Linked DNA regions of Callithrix jacchus. The protein of the gene in region 1 interacts with the protein of each later gene in a biochemical or structural test. Links are inferred from orthologs where the notes say so. Each region holds a gene or a part of one and is shown on either strand. Other genes may lie near its edges.

Region 1 (4,044 bases):
TAGACAGCTCTGCTGCAGCTTCACAGAGGTGAGACTTCAGACGGGAGCCCCAGGCAGAGAAAAGGACTGAATTTGGGGGGCAGGAGGGTCATCGCTTCTGGGGACCTTTGCAGCCTCCCCAGGTGCAGCCCCAGTGGAGACTCCGGCCATCGCAGCCTCCAGAGGCAGTGAGGATGCCCTGCCCAAGGGGCCAGGAAGGTAGGTGGGTAACGGGGACAGCGGAGGGACGCGGGAGGCCTCGGCCTGGACGAATCAGGATGCTTCCCGACCTCCACAATACCCAGGACACTGTACTGCACGGACGCCCTCCTAGCAAGCCCAACCCCACAGCCGCACAAGGGAAGAGGGAAGAAACCCGGGGGTGGTGGGCACAGCCAGGCCTCCAGCGCGCGGAACAGAGAGGCTGCACCGGTCCATGTTCCCTTCCGACCGGTCCAGGAGGGGTCCCTGACAACCAGGGCTCCTCCGCCTCAGGCTGGATCTCAGCGGAAAGGCCAGCTCATCAGAGGCCGTGCGACATCCCCTCTGGGCAGCCGTCCTCGACCCTGGGCCCCACCCCCACGGCCCCGTTTCCCCCGCGGGTTTCCAGGCCACCTCCTCCTTTGCTTCACCCGTGGCCGGCTCCCCGGGGTCTGCTCCTGGCCCAGGCGTGACCCCGCTCGAGTCACTGCGGCCGTCGGGGCGCCGAGGCCAGTGGGGGACACAGCAGGCCTCCCGCCTTCGGACGTTCAGTCGTGGACCCGCGAGTGCCACAGGTTTCCACAGGGCCGGGGCTCGCGACTCCGCGCAGCCTGGGGGCTAGGAACCCCAACCCCGGCGAGGGGCACCTCACACCCACGTCCTTACGCGGCCCCTGCGGGCTCGCGGTGACTGCCGCGCCGGGAAGGAGGAGGGTGTCAACCCGGCCCCGCCGCTCTAGTTCCTGCAGCAGCAGCCCGGACCTCAGTCACCGAATCTGTGAAACGGGCGGGAGGGAGCCACATGGTGTCTTCTCGGAAACACACAGGCGCAGGCGCAGGCGCAGACGGGTGCGCTCGCCCTCTCCTGGGCGCGCGCGCGCGCGGGGACCGCGGCCCGGGGCGGGGCGTCCCTTTCCCCGCCCCCTTCCCCGCCCCCTGCAGCCCTCCTGGAGTCAGCGCGCCTGCTCCGCGGGCGAGCGGTGGGAGGAGTTCCCTGTGTCTCCGCCCCTTACCCGGCGTGCTCTGCGTCCGCAGGCGCTGACGTGGCCGCCGTCAGAGCCGCCATCTTGTGGGAGCGAAACCAACGCCTGGCTCGGAGCAGCAGCCGCTGAGGTGAGGGCGAGGGGCCCGGGACCGTGTGGGCCGCGGGCAAGTAGGAGCCGGCGGGGGCAGGGGACTGGCTTCGGGGCGACTTGAGGTTCGCGAAGAGCACCTCGACCCCCGCGGCGGCGGCGATAGGGCCGTGCCGGGGGCGGACGAGGACGGGCCGGGCTGAGGCTGGGGCCTGGCCGGGGTCGGGGCTGGGCCGGCAGGCGGGTCGGTGGGCCCTTCGCGCCCCTCACAGATTCCCGACGTCGCTCGCGGCCCCGTGTCTTCCTCTGCCCGTCCCTGCCCGCGCCCTCGGCCCGGAAGTCCGCCGGGACTCCGGGCTCTTCTCCAGGAAGCCTGGGCTTCCTGCTTCCCTCACATCTGCCCTTTTCGTCTCTCGAAGCCGCTCGCGCGTGGAGAGTTGGGGTTAGAGGCCGCGGGGGCCGGTAGGGGCCGTGGGGCCTCCCCCACCCGAGCACGGGCGAGCGGGTGGCATCCGGGCGGACCCCTGCCTCAGGGACCGGGAAACTGAGGCTCGGACGGCCCCAGGCGCCGTCAAGGTCACGTTGGTGGTGGGGGCTTGCATCTCCGCCTCCCCACTCCATCCAGTTGGTGTTTGCTCTGAGGGCGGCACCGGCTGGGGGGCGGTGAGAGCGGGCGGGCAGGTGGATGGGGACCCCGCGCCCGGCTCCGGCTGCGTGGACTTCCGGGGGAGTCCGGAGTGCCTCCCTTCACACCCGTGAGACCCGTGGCTTCCAGAGGGGCCGGTGGATCTTTGCTTTAACCCCAGGGTGGTGCCTTGGCGGCGGTGGATGATAAGAAGCCTCTTCTGAGCTGGTGAATCTTTAACCTGCCCGCGGAACGACCTGCTCGCAGACTCGGGGCCGCGGAGGCCGGGCACAGCCTGCGTGGTTCCGGGGTGAGGCTGGGCTGGACAGCCGTGCGCACCTGGTGTTAGGTCACCGTTCCGACGGCACCTCCTGGCGCTCTCGCTTTCTGTCCAGGCAGCCCGTTGCTGCTTTGCAGGAAATGAGCAGAAATGCACCCGGAATCGCGGGCAGGAAAGAAGGGCGGCCGGAGGCTTTGGGTGGTCCCCGAGTTGATAGCTGTGGAGTTGGTGCACTGCCCCTGTTGGAGGGGCAGTTGTAGTTCTCGTTTCAGAACTAGGGGTCAGCAGTTTTTTTGCCGGCTGTTGCAAGGCTGGTGGTTCTGGCGTTTTCCGCGGTGTGTTTGGGAGGATTGTGAGATGCCGCGGTCCAGTTTGTTGTGTGGCCCCTGTGGCCCTCTGCCGTGGCGATAGCCATTTTCTAACACTTGTGACTGCATGGATGGTGTTCTGACTTAGTTTGCATTTTCGGTAGCACTGCCACGGTAGCCAGAAAGTCCCGAAATGCAGTATTACTATCTGGGTCCAAAGTTGAGAGGAATTGAGTAGTGTAAATGTTAGTCACACATTTGATTGGCCACATTGTTAGAAGTCTGTTGTCCACGTTACCACGTGTTGGTAGACCGGAGAATATCTGTCACTGCTTTTCGGGTGTATCTTGTTGAAAATAAATCCAAACCACTGCAGTAGGAATCTGTTGTTGCCTGTGAGGCAGATGTTCAGATTTACCAGTTGAAAAAGATTTGAAACAGTTGGTTTGGACAACAGCTGAGTCACACAATGACTGTGAGTGAAAAGCAAAAACTGGTTCTGTGCTCCTCACAGTTCTGGTTTTGTACATCATGTGGTCTAGCTATGCGCTGTACCTCTTGCACAATATGGAGAGGACATTCAGACATCTTCCTTCACCTGCTAATCTGCCCCTACGGACCGGACAGACTTGAAACTACTATAGGAAGGTGCATTTGGCCTTTCCTTTTTCACTTCAGTAAACTTTAATGTGGACTGTCAGCTGCTGCGGTTATCACAGAAGTAGACCTAAACCAAGAGAAAAAAACGTGTTGTGCAAGTTCCTGCGGAGTAGTATACGACTGGTTTCAGAGAGTTGAACATTTCTTTTTAGATTCTCCAAATTAAATGTCTCCTTGGTGTGTGGATTTAAGCTTGCTCTTACTCACAGGCCAGGCGCACCAAGCTTTTCTACACACTTATTCATGAGCTGTGACCATTCTCCTGAGCAAGAGGCTGAAGCCAGCCTCTTGGGCTGGCAGGTCCATGCTGTTTCTCATAAGCATTCTGTCCCCTTGACCTTTCACCTTCATAAATTCGAGGGTGAAAGGAAATAGAGTGCACTGTCAGAGGTAATTGGGAGAGAAACATGAAAAGGCCTTGCAGTAGGGTCTTAAATTATGACGACTTTGTTTTCTGTGTTGTGCGTGCTCATTGGCGTGGATGGTTGGTAGGGGTATCCTGCCCATAGTGTCTGAAGTGGTCTTTTGCAAAAGGTTTGGCCTCTTCATGTTGGGATTCCTGGACTTGTCTTCATCCTCAGGTTCCCATCCTCTTGTGGTGGTTGTAAACTCTCTAAGGCAAAGTTGCACTCATCGCTTTACAGCTGTGCAGCCACCTCACTGTCTTGGAAGGTACTTTCACATTCTCAGGTGGGTCAGATGACCTTGTTAGCAACTTGACAGACGTGTCCTGGATGCTCTTTGTTGCCAGGAAGCTCTCAGGTCCTCCCCCAGGGTCCTGTCTCAGTCTCCTACAGGGATGCAGAGACAGTGAGGCTGGCTGATTAGCCATTATGTGCTTGACCAGTCTTGGTTTCCTGGTTCTTATAAAGTGGTAACAAGGGCTTGCAGCCGGTTGTCAGCCAACATACAGGGAAGG
Region 2 (4,020 bases), on another chromosome or scaffold:
GCTGGAGTGCAGTGGCACAATCTCTGCTCACTGCAACCTCTGCCTCCTGGGTTCATGCAATTCTCCTGCCTCAGGCTCCAAAGTAGCTGGGACTACAGGCGTGCGCCACCATGCCCGGCTAATTTTTGTATTTTTAAAGTAGAGACGAGGTTTTACTATGTTGGCCAGGCTGCTCTCGAACTCCTGACCTCGTGATCCGCCTGCTTTGGCTCCCAAAGTGCTGGGATTACAGCTGTGAGCCACCTCGGCCTGCAAGCGCTTTATTGACAACGGACAAAACTAGAAACCCATTTGTCTATCAAAAGAAGAGACAAATAAATCGGCTTTTAAAAAAGATTGAAATACCCGAAGAGATTTTGTTTCCCCTTAGACTGCCAATTCCAGCGAAGCAAGCTCCATAACCATCTTATATACTACCTTACTCTCAGTGTCTGGCACGGAGTAAGCACGCAATAAATGTTTGGTGAATGAATGAAAGAATGCCCGCTCTCATTCACTAATGGGTTTATAGCCACCAGCCCTCGGGCCTTTTACGCCCTCATGCCTTCCAGGTACAAACGCTATCCGGGCTAGGCCGAACGTGGCTCGCAGCGGGCTCGGGAGTGGGGCACCCATCGCCAGCTCCTGCAGCGGAGGCGCGTCCCCCGGGACCCAGGCAGCGTCCGCGGCTAGAGGGTCCCGGGACTGGCACCGAGCGGAGGGATGCGCGCAGAGTGGGTCCTGGGAGGCGGCGGCCGGGCACGCTGGGACCGACAACACTGGACGCCCCGACGCCGGGCAGCACTTGCCAGCCGCACCGAGGGGATCGTGCGGGCCCGCAGGGCACAGGGCGGCCCCCGGGCTCCCGGCGGCACGCGGGGCGACGGGGCGGGTCGAGGGCGGCGGGGGCGGGACAGGACAGACGAGAATCCCGCGGAGGTGAGGCCGGGGGCCGTCCCGCCCCCGAGGGCAGGCCCTGAGCCCCGGCCCCGCCCCGGCCCGCTGGGGCGTGGGCTCCAGCTGCTACTCCGCTCTGCTCTCCTGGCTTCGGGAACCCGCGCGGGCGCCCGCTCCGACTGCCAGGGTGAGGGGCCGTGAAGGGGCGCGCAGGGGTGCCGGGCCCAGGAAATCGTGGGGGGAGGGAACGGGCTCGGGCTGCGGGGCCTCCACACTCAGCTTCACACTCAGATTTCGGGGTTGCTCCCCGCCCTCGGCGGGGATCGCGTAACTTCCTCATTCCCGCCTGGACCCCTGCCCCGGCTCCCCTGCCTGGCGTGAGCGCCGCAGCTCCGCGCTCTCTCGAGCACCCGGGGCCGCTTCCCGGCACAGCTGCTGCGCGGCCCCAAGTCGGAGCCTTCCGGGCCTGGCTGGGTGTTCCCCGGGGCTCTGGTTACGGGATGGGGCGGGGGCTCGGGACTGGGACTGGGATTGCGGATGAGGGATTAAGGTAGGGAATGGAGCCCAGAAGGGGGTCGGTGGGGCGTTGCAAACTGGCCAGGCGTCGTCAGAGGGGTGGTCAGGAGTCCGTGGGGGAAGGGGAGGACCTGCAACAGAGGGAGGGCTGCGAGATTTAGGATAGCGGGGCGGGTTCTGCAGGGCAGCTTGCCTCCCTTAGGCTTCCCCATATTCCCAGGATGACGGCGACCCCTGAGAGCCTCTTCCCCACTGGGGGCGACCTAGACTCCAGCCAGCTCCAGATGGAGTCCGATGAGGTGAACACTCTGAGAGAGGGAGAGGACCCAGGTACACAGGGAATATGGATGACCTGCAGGGCGAAGAGGCGGGGCGGGGCCCGCGGGCTGGGGCCTACTGGGGTCTGCACTCCTTGACTTTCTTTCCTCCCAGCCGACCGGATGCACCCGTTTCTGGCCATCTATGATCTTCAGCCTCTGAAAGTGCATCCCTTGGTGTTTGCAACTGGGGTCCCTGTCACAGCCCAGGTGGTGGGCACTGAAAGATATACCAGCGGATCCAAGGTGGCCAGACTGGCCCCAGGGAAGGGGAAAGGGAGGGCGGGCCAGGGTGGATCCAAGGTGTCTCAGCTGGCCCCAGGGAGGGGGAAAGGGAAGGCTGGCCAGAGTGGGGAGGCAGGGACACATGCAGGGAACATCCATTCAGTTTGTCACACCCCTAGGTGGGAACCTGCACTCTGTATTCTGTCCGCTTGACTCACGGCGACTTTACCTGGACAACCAAGAAGAAGTTCCGTCATTTTCAGGAGCTGCATCGGGACCTCCTGAGACACAAAGTCTTGATGAGTCTGCTCCCCCTGGCTCGGTGAGGGGGCCGAACTGCTTCCTGTAGAGGGCAGGTGCCCCCCCCACCCTCCTTCCTGTGTCTGCCCTCCTCCCCTGCCCTCCGGCCACAGCCTTTCCTCCCTGCAGTGGCTCTGGCCACTGGGCCACCTCCCCTGACCCCAGTTACCAGGAAACTTTCCCTGTCCATGGTTCTGTGCCAGCATCTCAGCCAGGCTGGATGCCCAAAATGTCCTTGGCAGCCTCACCCTTTTCTAGTCTCCATTCCCAGGGTAGGGGGCCTTCCTTTTGCCAGCCTCTAGGCCTTTTTGTTTTTGACAAGGTGTCCTGTCACCCAGGCTAGAATTCAGTGGTATGATCTTGGCTCACTGCAACTTCCTGGGCTCAAGCGATCCTTCCACCTCAGCCTCCCGAGTAGCTGGGACCACAGCCACCACACCCAGCTAATTTTTGCATATTTTGTAGAGATGGGGTTCCACTATGTTGCCAGGCTAGTCTCAAATTCCTGAGCTCAAGTGATCTACCCACCTTGGCCTCCTCAAGTGCTGGGATTACAGGCATGAGCCACCACCCCTGGCCACCTCCAGGCCTCTTCTTTTCCTCCAAGCCCCCATCTCCAGTGTTTTCAAGAACCGGAGCACCCAGCCTCCCAGCACATACCTGACCCTCATCTATCCTTACCACAGTTTTGCCGTTGCCTATTCTCCAGCCCGAGAGGCAGCCAACAGAGAGATTCCCTCTCTACCCCGAGCAGGTCCTGAGGGCTCCACCAGACATGCAGCCAGCAAACAGGTGGGACCAGACACCAGGTTCTCTGGGAAGGCACTAGAGGTGCAAATGGCTCTGGTCTCATCTTTCTCTCTCTCTCTCATCCCCACTTCAGAAATACCTGGAGAATTACCTCAACCGCCTCTTGACCATGTCTTTCTATCGCAACTACCATGCCCTGGTAAGGTCCAGGGACCGATTTTAGATGTGGAGCAGGATAATCAGACCTGCAGCGGGAGAGAGCCAGGGGCCCCAAGGTCTGAGGGGCTGACAGCCAGGTGTCTCCTCTGGCCTTTTGTTTTTCTCTACAGACAGAGTTCCTGGAAGTCAGTCAGCTGTCTTTTATCCCAGACCTGGGCTGCAAAGGACTGTGAGTGTCTGGCACCCTTCACCCAGCCATCCGCAGACATCACTGTTAATTTCTCCCTGTCTGAGAATGGGCAAGCCGTGCAAGGTGGGCTGGCAGTCTGGAGTCCTCATCCACCATCTCTTCCTGATTGTCCCACAGGGAGGGGATGATCCGGAAGCGCTCAGGTGGCCACCGAGTTCCTGGCCTCACCTGCTGTGGCCGAGACCAAGTTTGTTATCGCTGGTCCAAGAGGTATGGGCTGTGGCCGAGCAGCTGGGCAGTGGGTAGGGGTGAAAAAGGAAATTGCAAGGGCAGAGAGGAACACAGGGAGCCCTTCTGCTCTAGGTGGCTGGTGGTGAAGGATTCCTTCCTGCTGTACATGTGCCTCGAGACGGGCACCATCTCATTTGTTCAGCTCTTTGACCCTGGCTTTGAGGTGCAGGTGGGGAAACGGAGCACGGAGGCACGGTACGGTGTGCGGATCGATACCTCTCACAGGTAAGGCCTCCCTGGTGTGAGAGACAGCTGGTGAGTGGTGAGCCAGCCCACAGCCCTGCCTGGACTTCAGTAAGAGATACTACAGGAGGCAGGGCGTGGTGGCTCACGCCTATAATCCCAGCACTTTGGGAGGCCGAGGCGGGCAGATCACAAGGTCAGGAGTTCGAGACC
Region 3 (3,511 bases), on another chromosome or scaffold:
AAGACACCTTAGCAGCAAAGAGAACGTGCAGACAGCGTTCCCAGCCAATGCTAAGATTAAACTTTTTTTTTCTTTTCAACTTTATAAGTAACAGCATGTTGTAATTGACTTAACATTTTCTTCAGAAACTGCTGTGGCCAACTGATTTTTATGGGAATCATTCTTTAATGTTTTCGTCTTCATGCTGCCTGTGTTATGAGGCATGCTGGCCCAGGGGTGGCGGGAGGTGTGTGCTGCGGTCCTCGCTGGTGATTTAAACCACCCTGCTCTGGTCATGGTCCTCGTCTGCTCATAGGTTGAACAGTTCTGAGTGAATCTTAATGGCCAATCTCGCTTTATCTTTAAATTTGGTAGCGGCATTCCGTTGTAATTACCATCTCCCTCAGGTCCCATAGGCACCACTCTCTTTCCATAACAACATTTTGCAAAATTATTTACTTGGAAGCAAATGAAATAATTGTCACTTTGAAGAACCGAAACCAAAAACCTCTTAAGGAAACAGTTGGCTTTGTTTTTGCCTGTGCTTGCTTTCTGATTATGTTTCTTGGGCAGGCATTCCGTTGGCACTTTTTTTTTTAAGGATATGGTGAAAAGGTTTGGTGTAACGCTTTCAGTTTGCGTGGGAAGCCAGTAAATTATGGCACGTGTTGTCAGAGCCTGGAAAGGTACAGTCATGAGTGTTAATGTTGGCTGGGCTGAGTGGCACATGCCCATAATTCCAGCACTTTTGGGAGCTCAAGGAGAGCAGATTGCTTGAGCTCAGTAGTTCAAGACCAGCCTGGGCAACATGGCAGAACTACATTTCCATATCTATAAAAAATAGAAAAATTAGCTGGGTGTGGTGGCCTGTACCTGTGGTCTCAGGTACTTGGGAGGCTGAGGTGGGAGGATCACCTGTGCTCAGGAGAAGATCTAGGCTGCAGTGAGAAGATTAGGCCATTGCACTCCAGCCTGGGTGACAGAGTGAGACCCTGTCTCAAAATAAAAAACATGTCTTCACTTGCTATGTTTAATTTTCTGTGAGTCTTGAAATATTTTTCAAGAGCACTCAGATTTTCCCAGTGTCGTTTTCAGAATGTTGGTTGTGGTTACTGATCTAGAGCAGTGGAGGAACCGTAGAATCCATGGAAGCAACACTTTTCATTTTCAGAGGAAAGAGAAACCATCAAATTTGAACTCTCAGAAACCTTCTGAGTTAAAGACACTTCTTTCTCTTCTGTTGCTTTCCTTAGAAGACACTACTGAGAAAGATGATTGGCATATTGCAGGAAGAGGCCCCGTAGCCTTGATGCTGACAGACCTGGCAAAGCCGTAGACACAAGTCAGCCTATCTCACGTGTCCCTTCCGTGGGGTTCCTGCTAACTTGTTGGTTATGACCTTGCGTCAGTGGAGACCTTGGGTTCCTGAGTGTTGTTAGTAAAACCTTGGGTTTTAATCATTTCAGACAAGTAATGGCGGTGGGAGTTTAAGCGACTATTCCTCCTCCGTTCCATCGACTCCCAGCACCAGCCAGAAGGAGCTTCGGATCGACGTTCCTCCCAGTGCCAACACGCCCACGCCCGTTCGCAAGCAGTCCAAGCGCCGGTCCAACCTTTTCACCGTGAGTGTCAACCCTGGGTGGAGATTTGAGCGCCATTCTGAAGAGTGTCCATTAACATAAACCTGGTTGCGTGATTCAGTGGTATTTGTAGAATCTCAACTATATCAATGGGAATAGCATTGATTTCTGTGGAACGCTGAGAAAATTATGAGAAGCAAAGATTTGGATGTCGAGTAGAATGGGAGTTTCTTGGTGTGGACGGGTACAGATTGTTATGTCAGAAATGAAGAGCTGTGGGTGTGTATAAAGGCACTTGTTACCCTGTGGCTCCAGCTAAAGACATGTCACACTGGATACAAAGAGATGGCAAAACTCTGCCAAGATTCCCAGATGTGTGTCTCTAGCCATTCAGATGATGATAAGCTGTTACAGTCCACAGGCCCTCTTCTGCTGCTGCTGAGGTGCCTCTGGTGGAGGCGGGGGATGGGGAGATGCCTTCTGGAGGCTCATTGCCATGAGGCTTTCCACTTGGTTTCTTTTCCCTTTTGAGACGGGGAAAAAAAGGAAGTCTGCCTAGACTGGAGTGCAGTGGTTCAGTCCTCAAATCCTCCCACTTCAGCCTTCTGAGTCCCTGGAACCACAGGCATGCATCACTGTGTGTGGCTAATTTTTTTTTTTGAGAGCCGGAGTCTTACTGTGTTGCCCAGGGTAATCTTGAACTCCTGGGCTCAAGCCATCCTTGCACCTTGGCCTCCTGAAGTGCTGGGATTACAGGCATCAGCCATAGTGCACAGCCAGCACGTTTAGTACTTAAAAACTCTCTGGGTGATTAAGATGCAAAGAATCCCTGAACTACGGAAGAGACAAAAATGCTACCATCCTGTCTCTCCCCTGTGCCCAGCAGACATTACCAATCAATCTGGAGTCTACACAGTTGGGCCCCAGACTCCAGGCATAGCTGCTGTCAGGTGACTGAAGCCCTTTGACTTGAGAAGAACGCTCTCTCCCTGGATCACCTCTGTGCATGACTAGTATATGCTTTTTAAATAGTGGGCCTCAACCTGGGTGGTTTTGCTCTCCAAGGACATTTGGCAGTTTCTGGAGAATCTTCGGGCTGTTACCGCAGGAGTATGAGAGTGGGAAGGTAAGGTACTGCGGACGTCTAGTCCTGGGTATCAACCAAGGGTGCTGCAGAGCATCAGCAGATCGGCCCCTCGCAGCAGGGAATGCCCAGCCCCCGGGTCAGTGGTGTCCTGTTTTAAACCATCTGACTTGCATTTTTGGTTGATCACTGCTGACCCAGACGCAAAGCTTAATATGTCCTATTGGGTTAAAGGAAGACTCTATAGGGGTGACTGGGAGTCTGATTTGCTGCCCCTTTGTGAAGAGGAACTTGATGTGATGTTACAGTTCCTGCCACATCTGGGAGATCCCCTGTCTCTCTGCCACATATCCGAGGCAGTCTCTCACTGGGTACTCATGACTGTGGAAGTGGTTGCCAACAGCACACACCTCCTCCTCCCCAGCCTCCCCTTGCCTTTGCTGGGTGTCTTGCGCCAGATCAGCTCCCACAGAGGCCAGTGCTGGGCAGCAGGGTGAGGACTGATCAGACAGACCAGGCTCAGACCCTGGCCTCCACTGCTGACGGATGTTTGACCTTAGGCAAATTACCTGACCTCTCTCAGCTGGAAACCATAGTACTTGGGGCTGCCGGGAAGACTTCCTGGAGGAGACAGACGAGACCTGGTGGCATTGCTTTTGTTATTTTCTCACTACCGTTGATACTATAAAATGATTCCTGGTAGTGTCAGGCATATGCGATAGATGAGGAGGCAGGTATATAGGTTTCTGCAAAATACAGGTGAGTATCTCTCATGCTTAAATTAGTACATGGATAAGATATTTTATTGGACAGTTTCTTCAGACACACCAAGAACAGCAGTAGTCACCTAAATAAATAGCTGCTTCCC
Region 4 (3,511 bases), on another chromosome or scaffold:
CACCCTTTACTCCACTCCTGCTGGGCTCCGGATGAAACAGAACAGACCCACCCGGGACAGGCCCTGGGGGCCACACCAAGCAAGCGCCCAGAGACAGGCGGGTCCAGGCCACTGTCCGGGGGAAACAGGCTGCCTCCACCAAGCGCCTCAGCTCTGTCAACCCCAAGAAATGAGGGGATCAGCAGGCTGAGTGGTTAAATAATTAATAAGATTACCAACAGTGTGTTAATTACAAAGAACAGAGAGGAGCTAGAGGTGGTGAATTTTCCAAACAGGGAACCAGGATTCACAGCCCCAAGGCCCAGGGGTCCGGCCACCCAGGCGGGGCAGCTCTGCAATAAATAATGGAGTTGGGGGCGGGAGGTCAGGGCTGCTCCTGCTTCTTCTTGACTGAAATCCGCTTCTTTCTCGCTGCCAGCATCTCATAGAAGGGGTCCACACTCACAGCTGCCCTGAAGATGGGAAGGGATCCCAGGATGAGGGCCAAGGAGTCCAGGCCCCCAGCCCCTCCTCCCTCACACCCAGGGGTCCAGGCCCTGGCCAGCCCCTTCTCCCTCACACCCAGGGCTCCAGGCTCACTCAATGGACTTGATCCACTCATCCTTCTCCTCCTGCGTTGGGGCTGAGATCCGGTATACCATGTGGTTCCCCTCTACCACCCGGCCATCCGCCTCGGTTTTGCAGGCTTTGATGAGCTGCCCCTTGTTGTTGGGGATGTAAAGCTCAAAGCAGTTCTGGGGATGACAGGGGAAGGGCAAAGGTGAGAGCCAGCCCTGGGCAGAGGTGGCGCACCCCGGCAGGAAGGTGTACAGAGAGGATCTCACCGGTTTCCGGGGGTCATCCACCTCTCGGATGCTCAGATTTTCCAGGGGGATGATTCCTCGGGGCTCCTTGTCCTGAAGAAGCAAGTTGGATGGAACTCAGACTTCCAAATCCTCACCCCACTCTGCCTCTCTCAGCCCGAGTCCAGGCTCCCAGACCCTCCTCCCAGGACCCCAGAGCCCAGCCCAGGTCACCCTCACCGTCGTGTACTCAAAGTAGTAGAGGCAGTTGTCTGTGAGGATAAACCAACGCCGCTTCCACGTCTTCACCCGGCCCCCTGAAAGGGAAGGGGTGGGAGGGGGCCTGGGCTCAACGGAGGGGGACAGGGCCTCTGGGAGGTGGGAGGGGCGTAAGAGGCAAAGCAAGAGTGGGAGAGGCGGGGCTCCTGTGGCCTAGGATAAAGCCGCTGTGTAGGGGGAGACAGACAAGCAGGGACAGGCGTGTTGGGGCTCCAGGAATCGTCCACCCCCAGCTTGGGGCTTCACTTTTCTAAGTTTGTCAGTCCCCCCTGCTGTGGGCCGGAGGCCAGGGCAGCCCCCTCCCCTCTCTAGTGATGGGGGACAAGGACAGATCGTGTACCTACCTCCTGGGGCAGACAGCGAGAAAGCAGGCAGGACCAGGTGCAGGAGAAGGGAAGGCGGGAGAGCGGAGCACCCCAAGAGCCGCAGGCGACAGAAATAGGGTGGGTGCGGGGCGGGATGTGCAGGGGGCGGGGCAGAGAGGCAAACAGGAGACAGAGAAACACGCAGAGGGAGGGGAGGGAGAGAGAGGGAAGAAAACCAGTTACATCCACATGAGGGGCAGATGGCCGGGGCCCCTCCCTCCCAGAGAGGCCAAGGGCCCTGAGCCCCAGGTGGAGGCCTGGAAAACCCCTTGCATGGGCAGAGGGCCCCAGCCCACCCACTAAGGTCTGTCCCAGGCCAGGAGAGTCCTCCCTTGACATGGTGAAAGTGCCTCTCCCCTGTAGGTGGGAGGAGGCAAAAACCCCAGTCTTTGGTCTGAGGTGGGTGTGGGGGCCCATCTCAGCTCCTGCACAAACTGGCTGTGTGACCTCAGGACACTCTCTTGGCCTCTCTGGACTCCAGCCTGGAGACTCACTTGGGCCCACACCTTCCTGTGGCAAAAGGACCCACTTCTGGCTTCCTCATGGGCCCAGGGTTAAACAGTGAAAGTCATAATGGCTTTTATTAGCCATGAAGTAGAAACTGCGGCCGCCCATCTCCACTCCTGCACTGCCACCTTTAAGGAAGGGATGCCCCTCTCAACTGGCATAACGGGAACAGAGGCTCTCTGGCCAGAAATGTCCCTGGGGCTGGGCAGCCTTAGATGAGGCCCAGAGCCAAAATGAAAAGTGAGCCTCAATTTCCTTATCTGGGAAATGGGAAAGGTTGCTGCTGACGGAGTATTTTTTTTTGAGACGGAGTTTCACTCTTGTTGCCCAGGCTGGAGTGCAACAGCATGAACTCGGATCACTGCTACCTCCACCCACCTCCTGGGTTCAAGCAATTCTCCTGCCTCAGCCTCCTAAGTAGCCGGGACTACAGGCGTGCGCCACCACGCCAGGCTAATTTTTGTAGACAGGGTTTCACTATGTTGGCCAGGATGGTCTCGATCTCTTGACCTCCTGAATCACCTGCTTTGGCCTCCCAAAGTGCTGGGATTAGAGGCGTGAGCCACTGCGACTGGCACAGGAGCAGTTTTGAGGGAAGCAGCTCCTTGTGAGGCTGGCGCCTTCCTGCTTCTCTTTCTAGCCTGCTCACTGCCAGGGCACCTCGAGGACTGTCAATTTCCCCCAGCACCGCCTGCCTTCCTTGGATCCAATACAAGATGGGGACTGGGGTTGGCTGAACAGTGATTTGCATGTATTTTTATTTGAGAGAGATGGGGTCTTCTGCCGCCCAGGCCGAGGTGCAGCCGCACAATCACGACTCACTGCAGTCTTGACCACTCGGGCTCAAGCAATCCTCCTGCGCCACCAGGCCTGGCTAATGTTTTTTTTGTAGAGATGGGGGTCTCACTATATTATTGCCCAGGTTGGTCTCAAAGTCCTGGCCTCTAGCAATCCTCCTGTCTTGGCCTCCCAAAGTGCTGAAATTGCAGGAGTGGGCCACTGCGCCCAGCCTGACTTGCATATTTTACATTTACCAGGAAACCCTGGCATCTGCTGAGGTGGCGACGCCCCGGTTTAATAGCACAGTTCAGGCCAGGTGCAGTGGCTCACACCTATAATACCGGCACTTTGGGAGGCCAAGGTGGGTCACAAGTTAGAGACCAGTGTGACAAACGTGGTAAAACCCCCGTTTCTACTAAAAAAAAAAAAACACAAAAATCAGCCCAGCATGGTGGTGCATGCCTGTAATCCCAACTACTCAGGAGGCTGAGGCAGGAGAATCACTTGAACCTGGGAGGGAGAGGTTGCAGTGAGCCGTGATCAAGTCACTGCACTCCAGCCTGGGCGAGAGTGAGACTCTGTCCCCCAAAAAAAAAAAAAAAAAAAAAAAAGCACAGTTCCACATGGGGAGTCCCCCAAGAGGCAGAGGCCGAAGCAGCCTTGTCCAGTCCTCCTTCCAAGAAGCCTGGCCTTGATGCCCTTCCCTGAGCTGGAAGCTTCCTCTGAGTTCTCCTGCTGTCCCGGGAAGCCTCCATTGTTGCAGCGGATGGTACTTCTCAGATCCGTCTCTCTGGAGCA
Region 5 (4,306 bases), on another chromosome or scaffold:
AAACGCTTAGCACTTTTTCTTTCAGTCTTGCTCTGTGGCCCAGGCTGGAGTGCAGGGATACGATCTCGGCTCACTGCAACCTCTGACTCCTGGGTTCAAGCAATTATCTTGCTTCAGCCTCCTGAGAAGCTGGGATTATAGGCATGTGCCACTACCCCCAGCTAATTTTTGTATTTTTAGTAGACAGGGTTTTGCCATGTTGTCCAGGCTGGTCTTGAACTCCTGACCTCAGGTGACCCGCCTGCCTCAGCCTCCCAAAGTGTTGGGATCACAGGTGTGAGCCACCACATCTGGCCACTTAGCATGTTTTAATAACGTTCCATACACATCCAACACCCAGAAATTTCACTTCTAGGTAATTACTCAAGAGGAAGAAAAAATATGCTACAAAAAGCCCTTTCAAGACAGCTTTATTCATACTAACCAAAACATAGAAACGACCCCAGTGTCCAAAGTGTGAACGAATGAAGGAATGTGACGTATTTTCCATGGCGTGCTACTTGGCAATAAAAAGGAACCAGTTACGATGCGTGCGACGTGGCTGAATCTCAGAACCTCGTGTTAAGGGAAAGAAGCACCACCAAAGTGTATTTTGCACGACTCTATTTGTGTGATATTCCAGAACAGGCAAAACTAAGACATGGAGATGTTGGAATCAGAAGAGTGGCTGCCTCTGTTGGGAATATCTATAACTGACCAGGGTAGATGTTACCTGGGGATATGCATTTGTCAAAACTCCTTGACCTGTACGTTTTTCGGTGTTGCAGCTTATACCACAATACAAATGTTTATTCTCCATCATTTCAAAGGTCAGCCAAATCAAGGAGAAATATGTGAAATGCACAGAAAAGCACAAAAACAAAACAAAAAATTACCTGCAATTAACCTCCCACGGGTGACCGCTTTTCCGGCTTTGCACCTTCCTAATGCAGACTCGGGTCCCATCACTGCACACCCGCGCCCTGGGGCATCTGCGTGGCAGGGGCGGGGGACCGCGGTCCTTTCAACGCCGCCGCCTCCCGCCAGGGCCCAAAGGCTCGGCTGGTGGGAGACTCAGACCCAAGTGCGGGAGCACGGGCCCCAGGACGCACCCCCACCCCCATGCCAGTCCCCCGTCCCCTGCTACCCACTGCCCGTGGCCCTCGCCTCCCTGCCTGTCGCCCGCTGCCCCTGGTCCTCCTACCCCCGTTCCCCTGCTGCCCCCTCCCCAGAGCCCCCGCTCCAGGCCCCTACTCGCCCCTCCCTCGTTGTCGGCCCCGGTGAACGCGCCACCCCGGAACCACCCCAGCTTTCTTTCGCGGACGCACGGACTCATCTCCCGCCTGGCCTCCCCCACGGCCACAGCTACCAGCTGCGCTCCGGGGCCCAGGGAGGGGATGGACGGCGCGTCTGCGCGTCTCTATGGCGACCGGGCGGCTGCGCGCCTCGAAGGCTGGGGCCTGAGGCGGAAGTCCCGCCCCGCCGGCTCCCGCGAGACCTTGCGAGCGTGACGTAGCCGGAAGTTGGTGGCGGCTTGTGGGCGCCCGGGCGCGTCCCCGTTACAGTGCGGCGGCTCGACCCCGGCTCTGGCCTGACCCCGCGGCCCTGTCCGCCTCCTGCCAGGTAAGCGCGCGGCTTGGCGGCGCGGGCGCGGGCTCGGCCTGAGGCCCCGGCTCCCGCGGCGTTGGCCCCGGCGTTCGCGGGCAGACCTCCCCCCCACGGCCGCCCCCGCCCGGACCCCGCTCAGCCCCGAGGCTGCTGCCCAGAGCTTGGCGGCGCCCACTCCGCGGTCCCCCGGTCCGTTCGGCGCTGGGCGGCTGGTCCTCCTCGCGCGGACGCCCCGCTGCAGCCGCCTCTCCCCGGTGCCGCCCCGAGTCCCCCGCGCCCTCTTCCCTCCGAAGCTGCCCTCCACCCGCACCCCGGATCTGGAATCCCCCACCGGTTACGCGAGTCCAGAGGATCCCTGCCCGCTTAGGGCGCGAGCAGGACCCTGCCCTGTCCCCTTCAACCCCCTCTTCCCGAGCTCCTTAGGACCCAGGACTGGGCCTGGGCTTCCACCCCTTAAGGAGTGAGGGTTCTGCCCGGTGTCATCAGAAGTGGGGTGTTGGTGAGCCCACTGTCGTCAGAAACGGCAGCCTCAGCTCGCGTGGTTTCCTCTTTACCCTTTGACGTGGCTGCCTGTCTTAAGGGAGAGAGAAGAAACCAGGAAGGGGCTTTTAAAACTGTTTTCACTTTCTGTGGGTTTGGAAGAACTATGCTTCGTGTCTGTTCTTTTAAACGCCTTAATTACAGGCCACCAGTTCTAAGAAGTAACTCTGCTCATTTTTTGCAGGTCTGATTAATATTCCTGCCACGCTCTGTTAATTTTAACAGCAAAGTTTGGCTCTAAAGTGACCCAGGGCATCGAAGCTGTTAGCTTTGTTTAGGCATCCCTTTCTGGGGCCGCATCCCTCTCAGAGTTGAGAAGTTGTCTGTTCTTTAGGAGAAGGGGCTGCTGTTCTTAGACGTGGGTCCTTAGGTGCTTCAGACTCAGCATTTCTGCCTGTCACTGTGTCACAGCCCTAGGGCTTGAGCAGTGTTCTTAAGCATCCCTTTTGACCTCACCTATTGCGAGTGTTCCAGCTTAACGGATCCTGAGTTTTGAAGTCTCAGTGGCTTCCGAACTAATACAAAGTGTCCTCGCTGGGTTTGATGTTTACTGAAGTTATGTGCACTTGCAGGAGGAGGGATAGTTTTACATCTTGGTTCAGGTGTTAAGAGTTCCTGGATTATTTTTCAAGGTAAACCATATTGGGCTTTTGAAGGTTAGGAGGTATTTGTTTTTGTGTTATTAACTTTAACATTTCAGGTAACTGGGGCTCGTGAATACCCAAAATTAGTCACATAGAGGAGTTACTTTTAAATCCAAGGGAAGTCCTTTATTTTTTGCACATTTTCTCCCTGCAGTAGTCCTGTGAGTATCCTGTGTATTTTACAGTTAGAAATTGAAGGAGCGTCTCATGGTTCTGACTTTTGTGTGCCCGTGTCTGTTGGCCAATACATGAGCCCCTGAGAGCAGGCCTGGTGCTGTGGGAAGGAGCGAGTGTGGAGACCCAGAGCGGCCTCGTCCTGCTCTGGTGGCTCACCTCCTCTGCATGGGCCGGCTTCTGCGTGTGCCTGCCGTGAGAAGAATGTGTCCCAACGGCCTTATAAGCTCAGCCCCGCTACCCTTGGTGCCAGGACCTCTCCAACCTGGCTTAGCCCCTTTCCATCTTCAGTGCTGTGTTCGGGTGGAAGCTCAGTTTGATGACAGTTTCGCCTGAATGAGTCATGCTGGGATCCAAGTCTATGCGGTCGGGAGTAAGCTTTCAGACCTGCCTCATGCTCTGGTTCCTGGGCGCTCTCACACCAGGCACAGAGCATTACGGAGTAGAAGTCAGCCCAGGGTGAACTTTTGGCTTTGTTTTGATGAACTGCAGAAAACATATTTATTTCCTGACTTTGAGTGGGTTTAAAGTAGGTGCTGGTGAATACTAGGAGTCATGGGCTTCAGAATTCAGGAACTTTGACCGTGTGGAGAGTTGGGACACTCCCCCCTCCCAGTGAATACCTTGTTTCTGCATACTTATGATGAGAAATGAAATATAGGACAGAGATTTTTCTTTTTTTCTTTTTTTAAGCTTCACCTCAACATAAATTTCCACCTACACCGTGAGTAGGAAAGCTGGTCTACACAGTCCTCTTAAATACAGTGGAGGAGGAAAGGGCTGGCGCTGGAAAGGGCAGCCGTGCACACGTGTAGTTTCCTGTGGCTTACAGAGCGCTGTGTGTTCTCTGTGTAGTGAGGTAGAGGGAACAGCACACAGCTCCGTTCTTATTGAGAGGTGGGTGAGGCTCAGCGCAGTGAGGCGTGGGCGCGCGGGGTGCAAGCCTGCTTCCTCCAGGCTGGACTGTCTCTGCAGCCTGCCCATTGGGGGTGTATTCGGGGCCACTGGGTCATTCTCGTTGGACACTGGGGTTGGTTCCACTCCTTCCTCCAGCTTTGAATCTCAGCTGTATCGGTTTTCCCGGCCCTGAATTGGATGGGCCACCAGCGGAAGTTGTGCTTTGTAGTTAGGAGAGCTGCAGAGACATCCGCAGGTTTTCTCTTCAGCCCGAGCCTGGTTGCTGCTATCCCACTAGGGTCCCTGTGAGCCACCGCGGCGGGGCTGATGGTCCGAAGCCACTCTCTCTGTCCTGCTGCAGCCACACTGCTGCCCCCCCCAGGACTCGGAATGGCCCCAGAAGGACCCACCTGCAGGTCCCCCAGCAGGCCAGCTGTTCCCACACTGTGGGCAAGGGCACTGCT

What was found.
Region 2: the proteins of ARF1 (region 1) and PLD2 form a complex in vitro, tested with the Homo sapiens proteins (2 studies listed by BioGRID). The link is inferred for Callithrix jacchus from reciprocal best matches to the Homo sapiens genes ARF1 and PLD2.
Region 3: of the proteins of ARF1 (region 1) and AGAP1, one has a biochemical effect on the other in vitro, tested with the Homo sapiens proteins (2 studies listed by BioGRID, with this or other methods). The link is inferred for Callithrix jacchus from reciprocal best matches to the Homo sapiens genes ARF1 and AGAP1.
Region 4: the proteins of ARF1 (region 1) and CYTH2 are reported together in a solved structure, tested with the Homo sapiens proteins (3 studies listed by BioGRID and IntAct, with this or other methods). The link is inferred for Callithrix jacchus from reciprocal best matches to the Homo sapiens genes ARF1 and CYTH2.
Region 5: the proteins of ARF1 (region 1) and ARFGAP1 form a complex in vitro, tested with the Homo sapiens proteins (2 studies listed by BioGRID, with this or other methods). The link is inferred for Callithrix jacchus from reciprocal best matches to the Homo sapiens genes ARF1 and ARFGAP1.

The regions. Positions count from the first base shown.
Region 1 is NC_133520.1:38,907,296-38,911,339, forward strand, and holds the start of ARF1 (ADP-ribosylation factor 1), read left to right. Parts: upstream 1-1,234; 5' UTR 1,235-1,292; intron 1,293-4,044. UniProt on the Homo sapiens protein: Small GTPase involved in protein trafficking between different compartments. Modulates vesicle budding and uncoating within the Golgi complex. In its GTP-bound form, triggers the recruitment of coatomer proteins to the Golgi membrane.
Region 2 is NC_133506.1:106,379,675-106,383,694, forward strand, and holds the start of PLD2 (phospholipase D2), read left to right. Parts: upstream 1-1,214; 5' UTR 1,215-1,376; coding exon 1,377-1,426; intron 1,427-1,594; exon of another isoform or gene 1,595-1,612; coding exon 1,613-1,722; intron 1,723-1,824; coding exon 1,825-1,955; intron 1,956-2,113; coding exon 2,114-2,256; intron 2,257-2,920; coding exon 2,921-3,026; intron 3,027-3,117; coding exon 3,118-3,183; intron 3,184-3,313; coding exon 3,314-3,372; intron 3,373-3,510; coding exon 3,511-3,603; intron 3,604-3,696; coding exon 3,697-3,849; intron 3,850-4,020.
Region 3 is NC_133507.1:157,044,485-157,047,995, forward strand, and holds part of AGAP1 (arf-GAP with GTPase, ANK repeat and PH domain-containing protein 1), read left to right. Parts: intron 1-1,445; coding exon 1,446-1,601; intron 1,602-3,511. UniProt on the Homo sapiens protein: GTPase-activating protein for ARF1 and, to a lesser extent, ARF5. Directly and specifically regulates the adapter protein 3 (AP-3)-dependent trafficking of proteins in the endosomal-lysosomal system.
Region 4 is NC_133523.1:42,358,053-42,361,563, reverse strand, and holds the end of CYTH2 (cytohesin-2), read right to left. Parts: intron 1,100-3,511; coding exon 1,023-1,099; intron 897-1,022; coding exon 825-896; intron 735-824; coding exon 580-734; intron 453-579; coding exon 365-452; 3' UTR 188-364; downstream 1-187. UniProt on the Homo sapiens protein: Acts as a guanine-nucleotide exchange factor (GEF). Promotes guanine-nucleotide exchange on ARF1, ARF3 and ARF6. Activates ARF factors through replacement of GDP with GTP.
Region 5 is NC_133506.1:58,760,964-58,765,269, forward strand, and holds the start of ARFGAP1 (ADP-ribosylation factor GTPase-activating protein 1), read left to right. Parts: upstream 1-1,504; 5' UTR 1,505-1,602; intron 1,603-1,794; exon of another isoform or gene 1,795-2,759; intron 2,760-3,638; exon of another isoform or gene 3,639-3,842; intron 3,843-4,306. UniProt on the Homo sapiens protein: GTPase-activating protein (GAP) for the ADP ribosylation factor 1 (ARF1). Involved in membrane trafficking and /or vesicle transport.